Diceros bicornis minor: one gene and its partner. The protein of the gene in region 2 interacts with the protein of the main gene of each other region in a biochemical or structural test. Links are inferred from orthologs where the notes say so. Each region holds a gene or a part of one and is shown on either strand. Other genes may lie near its edges.

What was found.
Region 1: the proteins of GRIP1 (region 2) and CARM1 form a complex in vitro, tested with the Homo sapiens proteins (2 studies listed by BioGRID). The link is inferred for Diceros bicornis minor from reciprocal best matches to the Homo sapiens genes GRIP1 and CARM1.

What each region holds. Positions count from the first base shown.
Region 1 is NC_080769.1:8,489,075-8,496,034, reverse strand, and holds the start of CARM1 (histone-arginine methyltransferase CARM1), read left to right. Parts: upstream 1-3,958; 5' UTR 3,959-3,973; coding exon 3,974-4,196; intron 4,197-6,960. Other genes in the region: C30H19orf38 (protein HIDE1), read left to right, coding at 1,889-2,038. UniProt on the Homo sapiens protein: Methylates (mono- and asymmetric dimethylation) the guanidino nitrogens of arginyl residues in several proteins involved in DNA packaging, transcription regulation, pre-mRNA splicing, and mRNA stability.
Region 2 is NC_080756.1:4,100,471-4,107,993, reverse strand, and holds the start of GRIP1 (glutamate receptor-interacting protein 1), read right to left. Parts: upstream 3,010-7,523; 5' UTR 2,189-3,009; coding exon 2,056-2,188; intron 1-2,055. UniProt on the Homo sapiens protein: May play a role as a localized scaffold for the assembly of a multiprotein signaling complex and as mediator of the trafficking of its binding partners at specific subcellular location in neurons.

The DNA.
Region 1 (6,960 bases), on a different chromosome or scaffold from region 2:
CCCTCTGGCGGCTGCAGGGAGGATAGACTGGGGGGGCGTGGACGGACTGGCGCCGCGGGACCGCGGCGGAGGCGGCTGCCTCCGGGCTCGCGAAGTGATGGGTGGTCTGGACTAGTGTGTTGGCAGCGGAGGTGGAAGAAACGAACGGATGCAGGTCAGCTGGATTCAGCGGAGGGGAACCAATGCACTGATTTTGGATTGGACGAGTGGGTGGAGGGAGGAGGAGGAGGTGTGGGAGAGTCCTGGAGAGGGGCGGGCTTGGAGGGACAAGAGAGCGGCCCTGTCACCCGGTGATGCCCAAGAGCGGATGAGTCTGGAGTTCAGCAGAGGAGCAGGGAAGTTTAAACTGGCCCCCTGTCCCTGGTACACAGATGGTGGGAAGGAAGGACCTTGGCACTGGCCGGCTCAGCCCTCTGAGGTCCCAGCTCTGGGAACAAATCCTGAGCTGTTAAGAAAAACCCAGCAGGTAGGGCAAGTTCTAAAACTTTCCTTGAGAAGCCACACTGCTCAAGGCACAGCCTGGTGATTTTTCAGGGTTTTTTTTTTTTTTTTTGGTGAGGAAGATTGGCCCTGAGCTAACATCTGTGCCCATCTTCCTCTATTTTGTATGTGGGTCGCTGCCACAGCGTGGCTGATGAGTGGTGTAGGTCCACACCCCCGGATCTGAACCCACGAACCTGGGCTGCCAAAGTGGAGTGCACGAATGTAACCGCTATGCCGCGGGGCCAGCCCGTATGCTCACACTTTTAACACAAATGATAGCATGCTATCCACACTGTTATGCACAGTGCTTCTTTTCCTTAACAGTAAATTCTAGTGATCTTTTCTAGTTTCTTTTTTTTATTGTGGTAAAATATACATAAAATTTACCATTTCAGCCATTTTTAAGTTCAGTGGCATTAAGCACATTCACATGGTTGTGCAACCATCACCACCATCCATCCCCAGAACATTTCCATGTTCCAAACTGAAACTCTGTCCCCGTTAAACACTAACTCCCTATCCCCCTCCCCAGCCCCTGGCACCCGCCATTCTACTCTCTGTCTCTACGGATTTGCCTATTTTGGACATTTTATAGAGAAATGATGCCACACAATGTTCATCCTTTTTGCGTCTGGGTTATTTCACTGAGCATAGTGTCTTCAAGGTTCATCCATGTTGTGGCTGTGTCAGAATTTCACCCCTTTTTATGGCTGAATAATATTCCATTGTCTGGATACACCACGGTCATCCGTCAATGGACACTTAGGTTGCTTCCACCTTTTGGCTATTGTGAATCATGCTGCTGTGAACACGGGTGTAGAAATATCTGTCAGAGCCCTTGCTTTCAATTCTAGTTTCTTTCTGAAGCATCAGAAAGCTATCCTGTTGGCTGAAATATCAGAAATGAAGCAGCTGACAGGGGCCGGCCCCATGGCCTAGTGATTAAGTTTGTACACTCCGCTTTGGCAGCCCAGGTTGGCAGGTTCAGATCCTGGGCATGGACCTACACCAGTCGTCAGCCATGCCGTGGCGGTGACCCACATACAAAATAGTGGAAGACTGGCACAGATGTTAGCTCAGGGCTAATCTTCCTCAGCAAAAAAAAAAAAAAAAAAAGAGGAAGATTGGCAATGGATATTAGCTCAGGGCGAATCTTCCTTTGCTGAGGTCACACCAGTAGGACGAGGTGGAGCTGGGACTTGAACCCGGGGTGCCTGGTCCCCTGTTCAGCAGAGAGGAAGGCAGGAGGGCAGAAGGCAGGACCAGGGTCCTGAAGCTGTGAGGTGCCTGTGTGTGTGTGGGGGGGGGGTGAGATGAGACCTGAGGGACTGGGGGAGTCTCAGAACATGGGGAAGCCCGAGATCCTGAAATCACGCGGTTCTCTATTTTTCTTCCCCAAACAAAGAAAATGACTTTGGAAGGAGACACGGCCACCACGGATGCTCACTCAGGCTCCGCTGTGACACCTGGCAGTTCCGAGTCCCGGAAGAGGCCCACCTGCACACCATCCTCGCCTGAGCCCCCGGAATTCAGCACTTTCCGGGTCTCCCCGTGAGGCCGAGGATCGGGGGCCCCTCTCTCTGTGTCCGTGCGCCCCCCATTCAGCCCTCTCCCTTGAGCTGGCCGGGTGCGTGGGGCCAGAGGTCCCTCCAGCTACTTCGGGGGCCTGGCTGTCTCTCTCTCAGGGAATTGAACAGAGGAGACGAAGGGGGCCCCTGGCCTTGGCACCTACCTCACAGAGGAGCAGGAGTGGGAGAGGGGGCGCGGGCATTGGCCTGGAGCCTGGATGGAAAGCAGGAAGCTTCCTTTTGGATTCCCAGCTTCTCAGACCTCCAGGGAAAGAGACGTTAGGAACCCTCTGGCCCCCAGCTGGGCCACAAGAGGTCTGAGCTCTGCACACACCCCTCTGATTCCCCCCATCTTCCAGCCACACCTGACTGGGCCAACCCGACTGGGTTTTTGGATCATGGGGTACCCAGGGTATGTTCTGAGTGTCTGCCCTGCTGGCATGCCTAAGTTATTAATTATAACGCGTGTTGAGCTCTTTCCAAGGCGTCTGTGGAGTGTAATCCTTCAAGCCCGGGATCTCTGGGGTCCAATCACCCGATGCCTGGGGGGAGGGGGAGTACCCCTCAAATGCATGCAGTCAGGGTGGTGTGTGGGGAGGCCCATGGGGGTGCGGGGAGGGGGCAGTGCCACGCGGAGTCTCTGCTCAAGTCCTTGCACTGGTGGGTAGAGGAGGTGGACTGATGAGGATGGGGCAGAGGGACACGGGGAGAATGAGTAGGTCCAGGGAAGGGCGCGAGCTGGGCAAGATGGGAAGAGGCCGCAAGCCTCTCTGGGTCCCCCAAAACGGAGTGGGGCCCTGGAGCAGTGGAGGGGGGACTTGGAGGGAAGATGTGTGTGGATGCTCTGCTGGGTTCACTGGCCAGCCATCACTGGGGGAAGGGAGAGTAACTGGGGGAGGGAAGGGGCTAAGGGAGGGGTCCAAGAATATTTTGTGGGGGAGGAGACCGTGAAGGGCCGAGGATGGAGGAGGAGGGCGCTGTGGGAAGGGGACGGAGACGATCGGGAAGAGACAAGGCGCGGTGGACCGCCGGGGAGAGGGCTTTCCCACAGGCTGTTCACGCCCTGCGAGAGGCCGAGCCCCACCGCAAACTGCTTTCCCAGCCCGGCGGGCTGGGGGCGTGGCCACGGCGGGGCGTGTCCCTAATCCTGGCCCCGCCCCTCACGCCGGCCCTCCTGGAGAGCCAGGTGCCTCACAAAGCGAGGCCCTGTGGGCGGGAGCAGGGCCGGGATAGGGGCGGGGCCCAGCTGCGACGAGGCCCCGCCCCTCCGCGTGCCGCCTCACAAAGCCGGGCGGGGCCAGGGGCGGAGCCCAGCCTCAGGGGCGTGTGGACGCCGGCGGGCGTCAGACCCGCCCCCGCCGTTCCCCGGGCCGGGGAGCCGCCTCACAAAGCGCGGCCGTTGGCGCGGGGCGGGGCCCGGGGCGTGTCCGCGAGGCCTAGCCCCGCCCCCTAACGCGCGCTCCCGCCCCTCCCCGCCACCCCCGGTCGTCCGCACCCGCACCGCCTTACACAGCGCGGCCGTCGAGCCGCGCCGGGCTGGGGGCGTGGCCCAGGCTGGGGGCGTGTCCGCGCGGCCGAGCACCGCCCCCTGACGCACGCTCCGGCCCCCGCTCTTCCTGGGCGGTGGAGCCACCTCACAAAGCGGCGACCGTTCGCGCGGGGCGGGGCGGGGCGGGGCCGACTCCGCCCCCCGTCGCGCCTGCTCCCCGCGCCAGAGCCGCCGGCAGGGGGCGCTGCGCCGCGGGGCCGGGCCGTGGCGGCGGTGGCGGCGAGGCGGCGCGTGGCCTGCAGGCGGCGCTGCCCGGCTCGGCCTCGGCCTCGGCCTGCGCGGCGGCGGCAGCGGCGGCGGCGGCGGCGGCGGCCTGGGCCCGGGCGCGGCGGCGGCGGCGGCGGCGGCGGCGGGGCCTGGAGCCGGATCTAAGATGGCAGCGGCGGCGGCGGCGGCGGCGGGGCCGGGCGCGGGCGGCGCGGGGCCGGCGGTCCCGGGCGGCGCGGGGCCCTGCGCGGCCGTGTCGGTGTTCCACGGCGCCCGCCTGCTCACCATCGGCGACGCGAACGGCGAGATCCAGCGGCACGCGGAGCAGCAGGCGCTGCGCCTCGAGGTGCGCGCCGGCCCGGACGCGGCGGGCATCGCCCTCTACAGCCGTGAGTGGGGCCCGGGGCCGGGGGGCGCGCTGCGGGGTCCGTGGGGCCGAGCCCGGGAGGGGCCCCGAGGAAGGGGTGCGCAGGGACGATGTCAAGGGACAGAGAGGAAAGAGGGCGTGCGTGGTGGCCGGAGGCGGCCGGAGTGCGCAGGGAAGCGGGAAATGGGGAGTGAGGGCCCTGAGATTGGGAGGGGTGGGCAGGAAGTGGGGGGCCGAGAGTGGAAGGGGAGTTGGGCGGAAGCTGGGGGGAAGGGAGGGGAGGGGGCCCGGGGTGGGCGAGAGGTGGGAGTCTGGGTGCGGGTGGGGCCGCCCCGGGGGGGAGGAAGGTGGGCTGTGGGCAGCCTCTGGCCATCTCGGGGGACCCCCTGGACCGCTATGGACAGTCGGAAAGTGGTGCCCAGTCTGGGGCGGCCTGCAAGACCCGGTTCCAGCCATCTGGAGGGCTTGGCCTTGCGGACCCCCGAGTGGGAAACTTCTAGATCTGGGGAGAGGGCCCATGCGAGCCGCTGGAGGTGCCCCTGGTGGAAACGTGGACGGGGAGGGCCCCGTCTTGCTGCCCGGCTCCGAAGTAAGAGGTAACCCAGCCGCCTCCTCCTCCGCCACGGTTCTCCGATCTTCCTTTTGGGGGATGTGAGAAGCTGGTTATCTATTCAGAAGCTAGTTTCAAAACTGATGTTTCAGTGGAAAAAAGAAATCACGAACGTGTTGGCCAAGGACCCCGAGTCTTCCTAGTTCATCCGTTTTCTTTCTCTTGTTCCTCTGGCTTCTCTGTCCCCTGATGCCACTGTTCACGTTTTGCTATTCTGTTTCATTCAGTTTTGTCCCTCAGGGTTTCTTGCAGTGACGCTCTGAGGAGGCCTTTGGTGCCATTAGCCTGTGTGAATATTTTGCCACTTCGGGAACGGGGTGTTCGGAAGGGAAGTGTGTGGAGTGGTTGGTTCACACAAGGTTCTCCCCCCTCCTCGACTTGGAAGATTTAAACTAAGGGAGCTGTGTCTGTTTGCCAGTGTCGCATCTCTCTTGCTGGGGCAGAGGTTGGTCCTCTTGGAGCAGAGGAGAGGGAAGAAGTGTATGCTGGGTGGGCATCAGAGCCCAGGACAGACACTTAAGCTCCCTCTTAATCTCAGCAGGATCCCCCAGCTGATAAGGATGGCCATTCATTCAGCAAGAATTAACAGGGAACAGAATAAAGTCAGGCAGCGTTTCTCAAACTGGGGTCCCAGGGCTGCTCCTCAAAAGAGTTCCAGGAGAGTCAATTTTTCCTTTGTAAATAAACTTTTTTTGATTTTAGAACAGTTTTAGGTTTATAGAATTATTGGGGAGATAGTACAGAGAGTTCCCATATACTCCACACCCAGTCTCCCCAATTCTTCACATCTTTCTTTGGGAGTTTGTACTTCTGTGTTTTTGTTTTGTGGATAATCTCGAAATGATTCTGAGTTATAACACTTCTCTTTTCGAGGTAATTCGTAACTGAAGCGTTCGGAAGGAGGAGAAAGTCCACGTTTCTCAAACTGAGATCTTCTGTCTGGGATGATACAGTCTCAGGAGTCAAAGAACTTTTTTCCTTTATGCTCAGATAACGTTGGTGTGGGTTCTGGAGTCAGCTGAACCTGGTTCTGATAGTTTCCCAGGGCTGCCGGAACAAACTTGGTGGCTTAAACAAAAAGGGATGCACTGTCTTACAATCCACGGCCAGAAGTCCGAAATCAAAGTGTCAGGGAGGCCACACTCCCTCCAGAGGCCCTGGAGGAGAATCTTTTCTTGCCTTTTCCAGCTTCCGCGGGCTGCATGCGGTGCTTAGCTTGCGGCAGCACATCTCCGGTCTCTGCCTCTGTCTCCACGTGGCCTCACCCCTGTGTCTCTCTGTCTCTTGTCCTCTAAGGACACCTGTCATTGGATTTAGGGCCCACCCTAAATCCAGGATGATTTTATTTTTAAGAGCCTTAAGGTCATCTGCAAAGACCGTTTTTCCAGATAAGGTCACTTTCACAGGTTCCTGGGGTCAGGGCTTGGACATATGTTTTAGGGTCCACTACGTGGGCTAGAGCGGTGCCCGCCAGTCGCTGGGGGTCTCTGTGGCTCATTGGTGGAGCGGGGGTGATGAAAGGACTGTGTGGCACAGCGTGTTTGCTCCATAAGTGAACACTTCTGTGGAGTGGCACCTGCTCCCGTAATGGGCTGGTGATGGCGTCCAAGTTGGCTGGTCGCTGCCCAGGGCGAGGCCGCCCTGGTTCCCGAGCAGCCTGGAGCACGCGGTGCGCCGGAGGCATTGCTCTGAATCGTGCCTGGGTGGGGGAGTGCAAAGTCCCAGGGCTGGGGCACAGGGCTGTGCACCTGGATCTGAGAGCACTGGGCGCTGGCTGACGGTCCCCTGGAAAAGTCAGAGATGGTCCAGCCACTGGGGGGATGCCTGGGGACGTGGCAGCTGGACAGGTCAAGGAGGAGCGCCCCTCATGACTTGGGGGTGAACCAGGCTGCTGGGGGCTTTAGGCCTTCTCTTGGGATGAACTTCCTTCACTGGCCTCAGCGTGTTCCAACCTGGACCCTTCTGGGATCTGGATGCCTTGGCCAGCCCTGTTCCGCTCACCTGTCCCTCACGAGGCGGCATCCTGCAAGCTGCTTGTGATTCCACACCCCTGAGATTCGAATCTCTGTGTGGATGGGGACAGGGACGTGGGCCGAGACACCCACAGGAATCTCCCAGTGCCTCACACGTGGGAGGTGAGCCCGAGGTGTCCTTGGTGCTGGCGAGGGTTCTGAAC
Region 2 (7,523 bases):
ACTAGATGAATTGACAAGACAGAGAGTTAAATTTCTTTCAAGAAAAAAACACTATAGAAAGAAAAACAGGATCGACGCTTGTGGTTTACCAGCAGCACCATTAACTAAGATGGAAATGTCATCAGCAAATTCCACCAAGTTTTCAGCCTAAATGTAAATAGTTTTTCTAAGCCATCTAGGGAAACACAGGGCATAAACTTTTAAATTATGCCAAAGACTAATTAAAATAGATATGCCATAGATGTAATTGAATTCAACCTTATTACCCATTTGAGAGGATTGGTTTTAAGGATCAGTCTCACCCTTTAGTGCTTTTCTACAGCCATAAAATACAAGTGGATGTCTCCCCCACCCAATTCAGAGACACCCTGAAACTGAAGCCAATGCACCGAGAGGGCATTATGTTATATGACACATCCTCTTTAAAAGCCCAGGCTGTCTGACATTTGAAGAAATGTCAAATCCCAAGGGCCCGAATCCACTGTGACACATTCTGTTTATTATGTAGCAGCTTGAAGTTGGGGACTCAATGTGCATCTAACTCTACAAAGTTGTGTATTACTTAACGGGCGCTTTCTGATAAGACATAGAGGAAAACATCTGAAGTAAATGACTCTTGATGTTTAGCATGTTATCCTTACCACGACCTTGACAAATCAGATAAGTTAAGACACGGTTCTCTTTAAGTTGCTGCACTTGATGTAAAAAGACCACTGCCTTAACTCTATCATTTTCTTAACTCTAGTTTGGGGATGTTTCTGAGATACCTCCATAAATATTTCTCCTTGCAGGCACATTTTGAAAACTTATAAAGTATCTCTGTTATTTTCCAATTCTTACCAAAACTAGTAGGATGAAGGCATTTGAGAGAGATTGATTCATGTGAAAGTTTCATAAAAAAGAAACATCTCTACAACTCTGAGTTTACTCTGTAAAGGCAACATAGCCATATTATTCAAGAAAATGTCAAAGAATTTTGCATTATTGTGTTACTGCCACCACATGAATTTTCAACCCTCAACTTTCATCAATCACAACAGAATTTCTGGCATTTGGAACTAATTCTCATGGATTTTAATACCACAGAAATGGAATCTAAATTATTTATCAGTCAATGCTCAGAGGTTGTAACTGGGATATATTCAAGGTTAGACATCAAAACTCTGGGAAGAATTAAGATTGAAACACAAGTTTATAAAGATCCATATTCAAGAAGATAAAAAAATAATTTGTAACTTCGTAAATGTAGATCATACATAACTGTCAGTTTCCCCAATTAAGGGCACCTCATAAACCCAATGGTCTCTTCATGTAGCTGCTTTTTCTCTCTGCACCCTTAGGCATTTCTGGGCATCTAAAATCTATCAAGACAAGTCTAAACCTCACCAGGAATGTACAGCACTGATAAGTACAAGAAAAATTCTAGTTCTCTGCTCTTTATAAGCTAATTTATAAACGTCTTAATATGGATACATTGTTTTATTCTACAGATATTGCTGCATCTAGTTGATAGCAAAGTTTCCTTAATTTAATAACAAAATTATGAACATGCACCAGAGAAAAGCATTTGAACTTCCTTCTACAAACAATCCCTCAGATTAATCACAGATAACTGTCTGGAAGTCTGTATCAGGAGCTTTAATCATCAGCGTCAACCTGAATATGAACAATTATTTCTTCCAAATAAGCTAGCCTTCCCTATTCAGGAAGAAAAAACCCAGTTATCCAAAAACAATAACTACAACAGAACATATTCTAATCACCTACTACACTGGTTTGCAAGGTACTTTTTTGAATGGCTCATTAAAATGATAACATAATTAATTGCACCTAACATATTAACGTGCATAGACCTAGACTGGTTATACTGTCTAGATGCTACCTGATGGCTATTCTCACAACAAAACAAGCAAAATGTAGCACTTCAGTCCTTACAGAAGGCTCACAGAGAACACCATCTGGGAAACCTTTTGCATTTAAGATTAAAGCTCCACACAAGGTTTATTGTTAGCCCCAGCATGCGAGAAGGAACGGAGGGTGGAGGGGAGCGCTTACTTCGAAAATGCTCTGCAGCGTAATAATAGACATCCTCATAGCCCTCGTGGTAATCCTCTTCTGGTCGGTACTTTTTTCCCTTTCTTCTCCTAGATCTTCTTATCTGCTTGACAAAACCCAGGAAGCGGTCCATCTCTCACTCACCCTGCAGCCTGGCTCAGCCAGCACCAGAGCGGAGCACAGCCCAGCTGCTCCGGGAGCTGGGGGAGCATGAACGCCCAGCACCAACCCGCGCCGGACGCGCTACCCTTCCATCTGCCTCTGTGCCACCATCAACGCAGAGAATCGAGCCATGGGAGGGGGGACATCACAGCGATATGGGGTTGACAAGATTTCTTACTTTGCTCAATAAACTGTCAAATGTGCAACTTAGAAAAAAAAAAAAAGGAAAAGAGAGAGAAAGTGAAATGATAATGAAAGACTACGAGAAAAAACAAGCAGCAAAGCTTTGGACTTCAACACAAAACAGAACAAAGTTCAACAGGAGATTCAGCTGAGGCGAGAGGGGTGCCCGCGCTAGAAATGCCCTCTCCAGCGTCTCCATCATCGGGGCGGGGGTGGAGGAGAAGAGAGGGGCGGGGAAACTTGTTAGTCAATGGACTGAACCAAAGCTAGAGACTGCACCGACTCTTTCTTACCCGCTAATCCCACCCCCTAATCCTAGCGCCCCGATCGCAAAGCACGTGCTTGGGAAACTTCTTGGAAAGCTATTGTTTTGCAACGGGCAGACGGATTAACCCTTTGTGCGCGCTTGCATATCATATTCATGAGCAGCAAAGTGGTTTCATCCATATGTACTGCCTCTTGCTGACAAAAGTGTGCTGTACGTGTTAATTGGAGCAGCAGAGAGAAGGCTCAGCAGCTGCTTTCAAATGACACGTTTACCCGCTGGGCATTAATGTATTCCAATCGCTGTTTGATCTAAATATTGAAATGCGCTTCACAGAGAGGCTGCTCGTAGGCTAGGTACGGCAGATCACAGTAAGCAAATCAAGGAAACCACATGGTTTTAGAGAAGAGAAACACAAATAATCCAACTCGGCTTACACCAAACTCAAATCTGCACCTTTCTGAGTCGTTACACGTTTTAAAAATATATGAAAACAAATGGGCTAAATAGCAAATAAAACTTAGTTTTTGGTGAAGATGGAGGGGGGAGAGAAGTTTCAAAATATGTCACACTCTGTTCATCCTTTGTCTCTAAAATCACAAGCAATGTTTTCTCTAAGTACCACAATCAGAAACACTTCAGAGTAGACGAAGAGGTACTCTACAGTCTAGACAGGTCAGCGTCACTCATGGATCATTTTCTCTCTAGCTTCTTTCTTCAGCTCTTTAAACGAATGCAGATTTTTAACACTAGGAAAAATTCAATTTGTTTACAACATAATTAATCAAACATGTCAGCATATTCCCTACTAAACTAATAATATGCTGCAGCTCCCTGTTCCCAGAAACGTCATTTTTTAAAAAGCTGCCTACTGTATAAAGGTCGTCAATATCTATGCAATATCAAGTCTGTAGGAGGATTCCAGAGGGAAATGATTGCACTCTGCACTCTGTTAGATTCACAGGCAATCCACCTCTCTAAATTGAGACGGTTCTCTATTTTCAGATATTAATTGCTAATGATGGAGTAGGGAGACATTTACTTAGAGAGGTAAATATTCATCAACCAAGAATATTTCAGCTCTGAAATGTGTAAAAGTTAGGTTGAATGGTTACATGAATTTCCCCGATTCCTAGAGATTTCCCATTTTTTTTATGCCTATGAGTGAGTTTGTGAAGAGAAACACAAACTTAATGATGCTGACAAAAAGATGCTATAAAATGTTTTATGAATACCTTTAAACAAAAAATCACTTGTCCTTGGTTCCAAATCCTTTCTTTATAATTCTGACTCCCTCAACCAAAGTAAACTAAACAATTAAAAAACAGTGAACTACAACTTTGAAGATCTGGAGTCTAGATCTTGAATAGTCATTAAATAAGTGATGATAACAATACATAATCTCTTTATTTAATCCTCCTATCAACCTTTACAATGAGGTGATATTTCTATGGATGCAGAAGGAAGGTTCAAAGATGTCTTAGTGGCTTGTCCAAGATTGCGAAGGTTAACACTGCCAAGTACTACCTCGTACCAGGTACTTTTTTCATACAAATTCAGAGATTATCTTGTCTTTCTAAGAATTGTTTGCATTCCGTATTTCATTGTTTTCTATATGTTTGCTATTCACACGGGATTTGAAAATAGCTGACTTTCATTTTTAATTGGGCTAAACATATATTCTGGTGTATGTGATTAATTCGTCAAGTACACTTGACCCCAGAGATTATGCAGGCACCAAATTTTACCCAACTACGCCTGAATTATAACTCCTAAATTAGTGGAGTACACGTTCCTTAAGTTTTGTAGTTTTAAACTCCCAGTTTGATCTAAAAGGACTGACATTATAGAGCAGATGATGCTTCGATAGAGTGAAGATGCTTTTTACATAGACCAACTTAAAACATTCCGCTACAGTTTACTGATTTTTAATTTCAGTATTTAAAGAGAATTAGATTTTCTCAGGCAGTGGTAAGCAACTATTTTTGAATAGAATCAATGCAAAGTAAAATTGTCTACATACCAAACTTCATATTTCAGAAATAAACAGAAATTATGCTACAGCACCTTTCTATTATTTTCCCAGTTTTGAAGGATTTTATTTGGGAGGTTAACATTTTGGTATCTGATTATAATGACAAAATTTTTACACAAGATGAAGTTTGGCAGTGCTAAGGAAGAGTTTAGAGTTCAGCCATATACTTGGAGGGGTATGGTAGAGGAGAATAATCCTAGATGCTTGGGAAGCAGGAATAGGGCATCTGTTATTTAGAGGAGGTCTAGTTGGGTCACAAAGCATGAAAGAATGTGGCAGCATGCCATGTGAGGGAGGGGAAGCCTGTGTATATATGTCACAATTCAGAAGACAGAAGGCAAGACACTGCTGCTCTGCCTGAGGGGTGGTGCAGGTGGACCAGATCCTTGCATCAGCCTTCCTGTGTCCACCTCTCTGAATTTTTCCCATCTTCTATCCCAAATCCTCCATGTTTAGCAATGGAGGACCAATCTAAAATCTACAAGGACTTGCTGGTACGCAGCAGTTAGCTAACACCCCACAACAATTGAAAAATTAGTACAGTGAAGTTCAAGTCCACTCAGTTAGTTGTACTACTGCTTCTGTCGAGAAAATCGCCCTTTCACGCTGTAGCATGAACGCTGGTAAGTGGTGTGACTCACCAGCTATTGCACTCTTCGGTCTAAACAGATCAGACGGTTGAGAGGTTGCAAATGGCAGTTCACGGGACAAGTATCTCCCACAAATGTGTTTTGTTTGGCTCACATAAGTGTTGTTTGGTTTGTTTGTTTTTTTGAATTGGACCAATATCTAAAAGTCAGGAAATTCACAAATAATCAGACATTTGCTTTTTTCTTAAAAAGTCAAAAGATCAGGCAACTTTAGGCCCAATTCCAACATGGCAACTATTGATTAGAGCTGAGTGGTGGCTGCCAGCCATAAAATAACATATGCTTTCCTCTTAGTCACTGTCTTCTCCCCTCCCCGGGGCCAACTCTCTCAATCAGTTACCACCTGGCCCTGCAGGCATTGATGCCTGCGAACCCCGAACCTTGAACCTCGAACCTCGGGTGAGGTTCCAAAACACTGTCTGCTTTAAGAGAAATTTCAGCTCTTCTATATTTTCGTGTAAAGAAAGCAGATTACTATGACAAATTGGTTTTAGTTGAGCTAAATGTTCACTAAACTATAAAATTAAATTTCTTAGAAAAAAATTTGTTCACATGAGAAAATAAAGCAGGTTGAATTACTCAACAAAATGTGCTTCAACCAAGAACAGTAAATATATGTTAGTAAATATTTAAAAACAACAACAAAAAAGCTAATTCTTTTCTTCCTGAAAAGTAGGCAACTGCCTGAATAGCATTTACACAGTTTCCAAACTCTTCTGAATTAGATTCTCCATCCCCTTTTAGGAAAAGAGGAATAGACCAACTACTGAGATTAAATCTTCAATTTACACCCTTCCCTAGATCACTGATTAAGTAGTACCCTTCTGTGTTTACTTAGATTGAGTAATGGTTACAGTCTTTTCTGAGTAGCAGTATGGGACGTCTGGCCTACCAGAGAAATCTTTGAGACATTAAGTCAATCTAGCACTTTCAGATGCCACAGCGTTTGCACGTGTCGCCAAGAACTGCGGCAGAATCCCCGTGACCTTGGAGGAGACACTCTGACCCACTGAGGATGGCAGACAAGGGAATACCCGCTGGTCCCCGGCAACGAAGGTATTGTTAACCTTGCCAGATCCAACACAACTTTACTGTGCAAATAACTTGTAATATCCCCCTTCACCAGTCTAAATGCAATTCTAGATCACGGGACATATGCATACATAATTTAAACATAAAATGTCTTCATAATAATATATATTTAAATATATGTTTAATAATATGTATTTAAATTAGTAAATCTGAGGACACAACCACACCAGAAGATGTAGTTAGATCCTTGCACCTACTTCTAATGAATGATTTCAAACTTTAGAGATGATCAGAAGCCATTCCATACAATGTACAGAAAATACAAGGGTTGAGTCATAGGGACACCGCAGCAAAAATTAATATGTTTGCTCTATATTAAAATTGTGAAAAATACTTCATGTCAAGAGAATAAAATGACAAATCACAGACTGGGGGAAAATATCTGCAAAAGATACGTCTGATAAATGACTGTTATCCAAAATATACAATTCTTAAAACTCAACAATAAGAAAACAAACTACTTGATTAAAAAATGGGCCAAAGACTTGAACAGACTCTTCGCCAAAGAAGATACACAGATGGCAAAAAAGCATATGAAAAGATGTTCCACATCATATGTCATCAAGGAAATGCAAATTAAAGCAACAATGAGATACTACTACACACCTATTAGAATGACCAAAATCCAGAACACTGACAACACCAAATGCCGACAAGGATGTGGAGCATCAGGAACTCTCATTCATTACTGGTGAGAATGCAAAGTGGTACAACCAGTTTCGAAGACAGTTTGGCAGTTTCTTACAAAACTAAACATACTCTTACCATATGATCCAGCAATCACACTCCCTGGTATTTACCCAAAGGAGTTGAAAACTTATGTTCACACAAAAATCTGCACTCAGATGTTTATAGCAGCTTTACTCATAATTGCCAAAACTTGGAAGCAACTAAGATGTCCTTCAGTAGGTGAGTGGATAAATAAACTGTGATACACCAGATAACGGAATATTATTCAGTGCTAAAGAGAAATGAGCTATCAAGCCCCGAAAAGACATGGAGGAAACTTAAATGCACACTGCTAAGCGAAAGAAGCCAATCTGAAAAGACTACATACCATATGATTCCAAGCATGTGACAT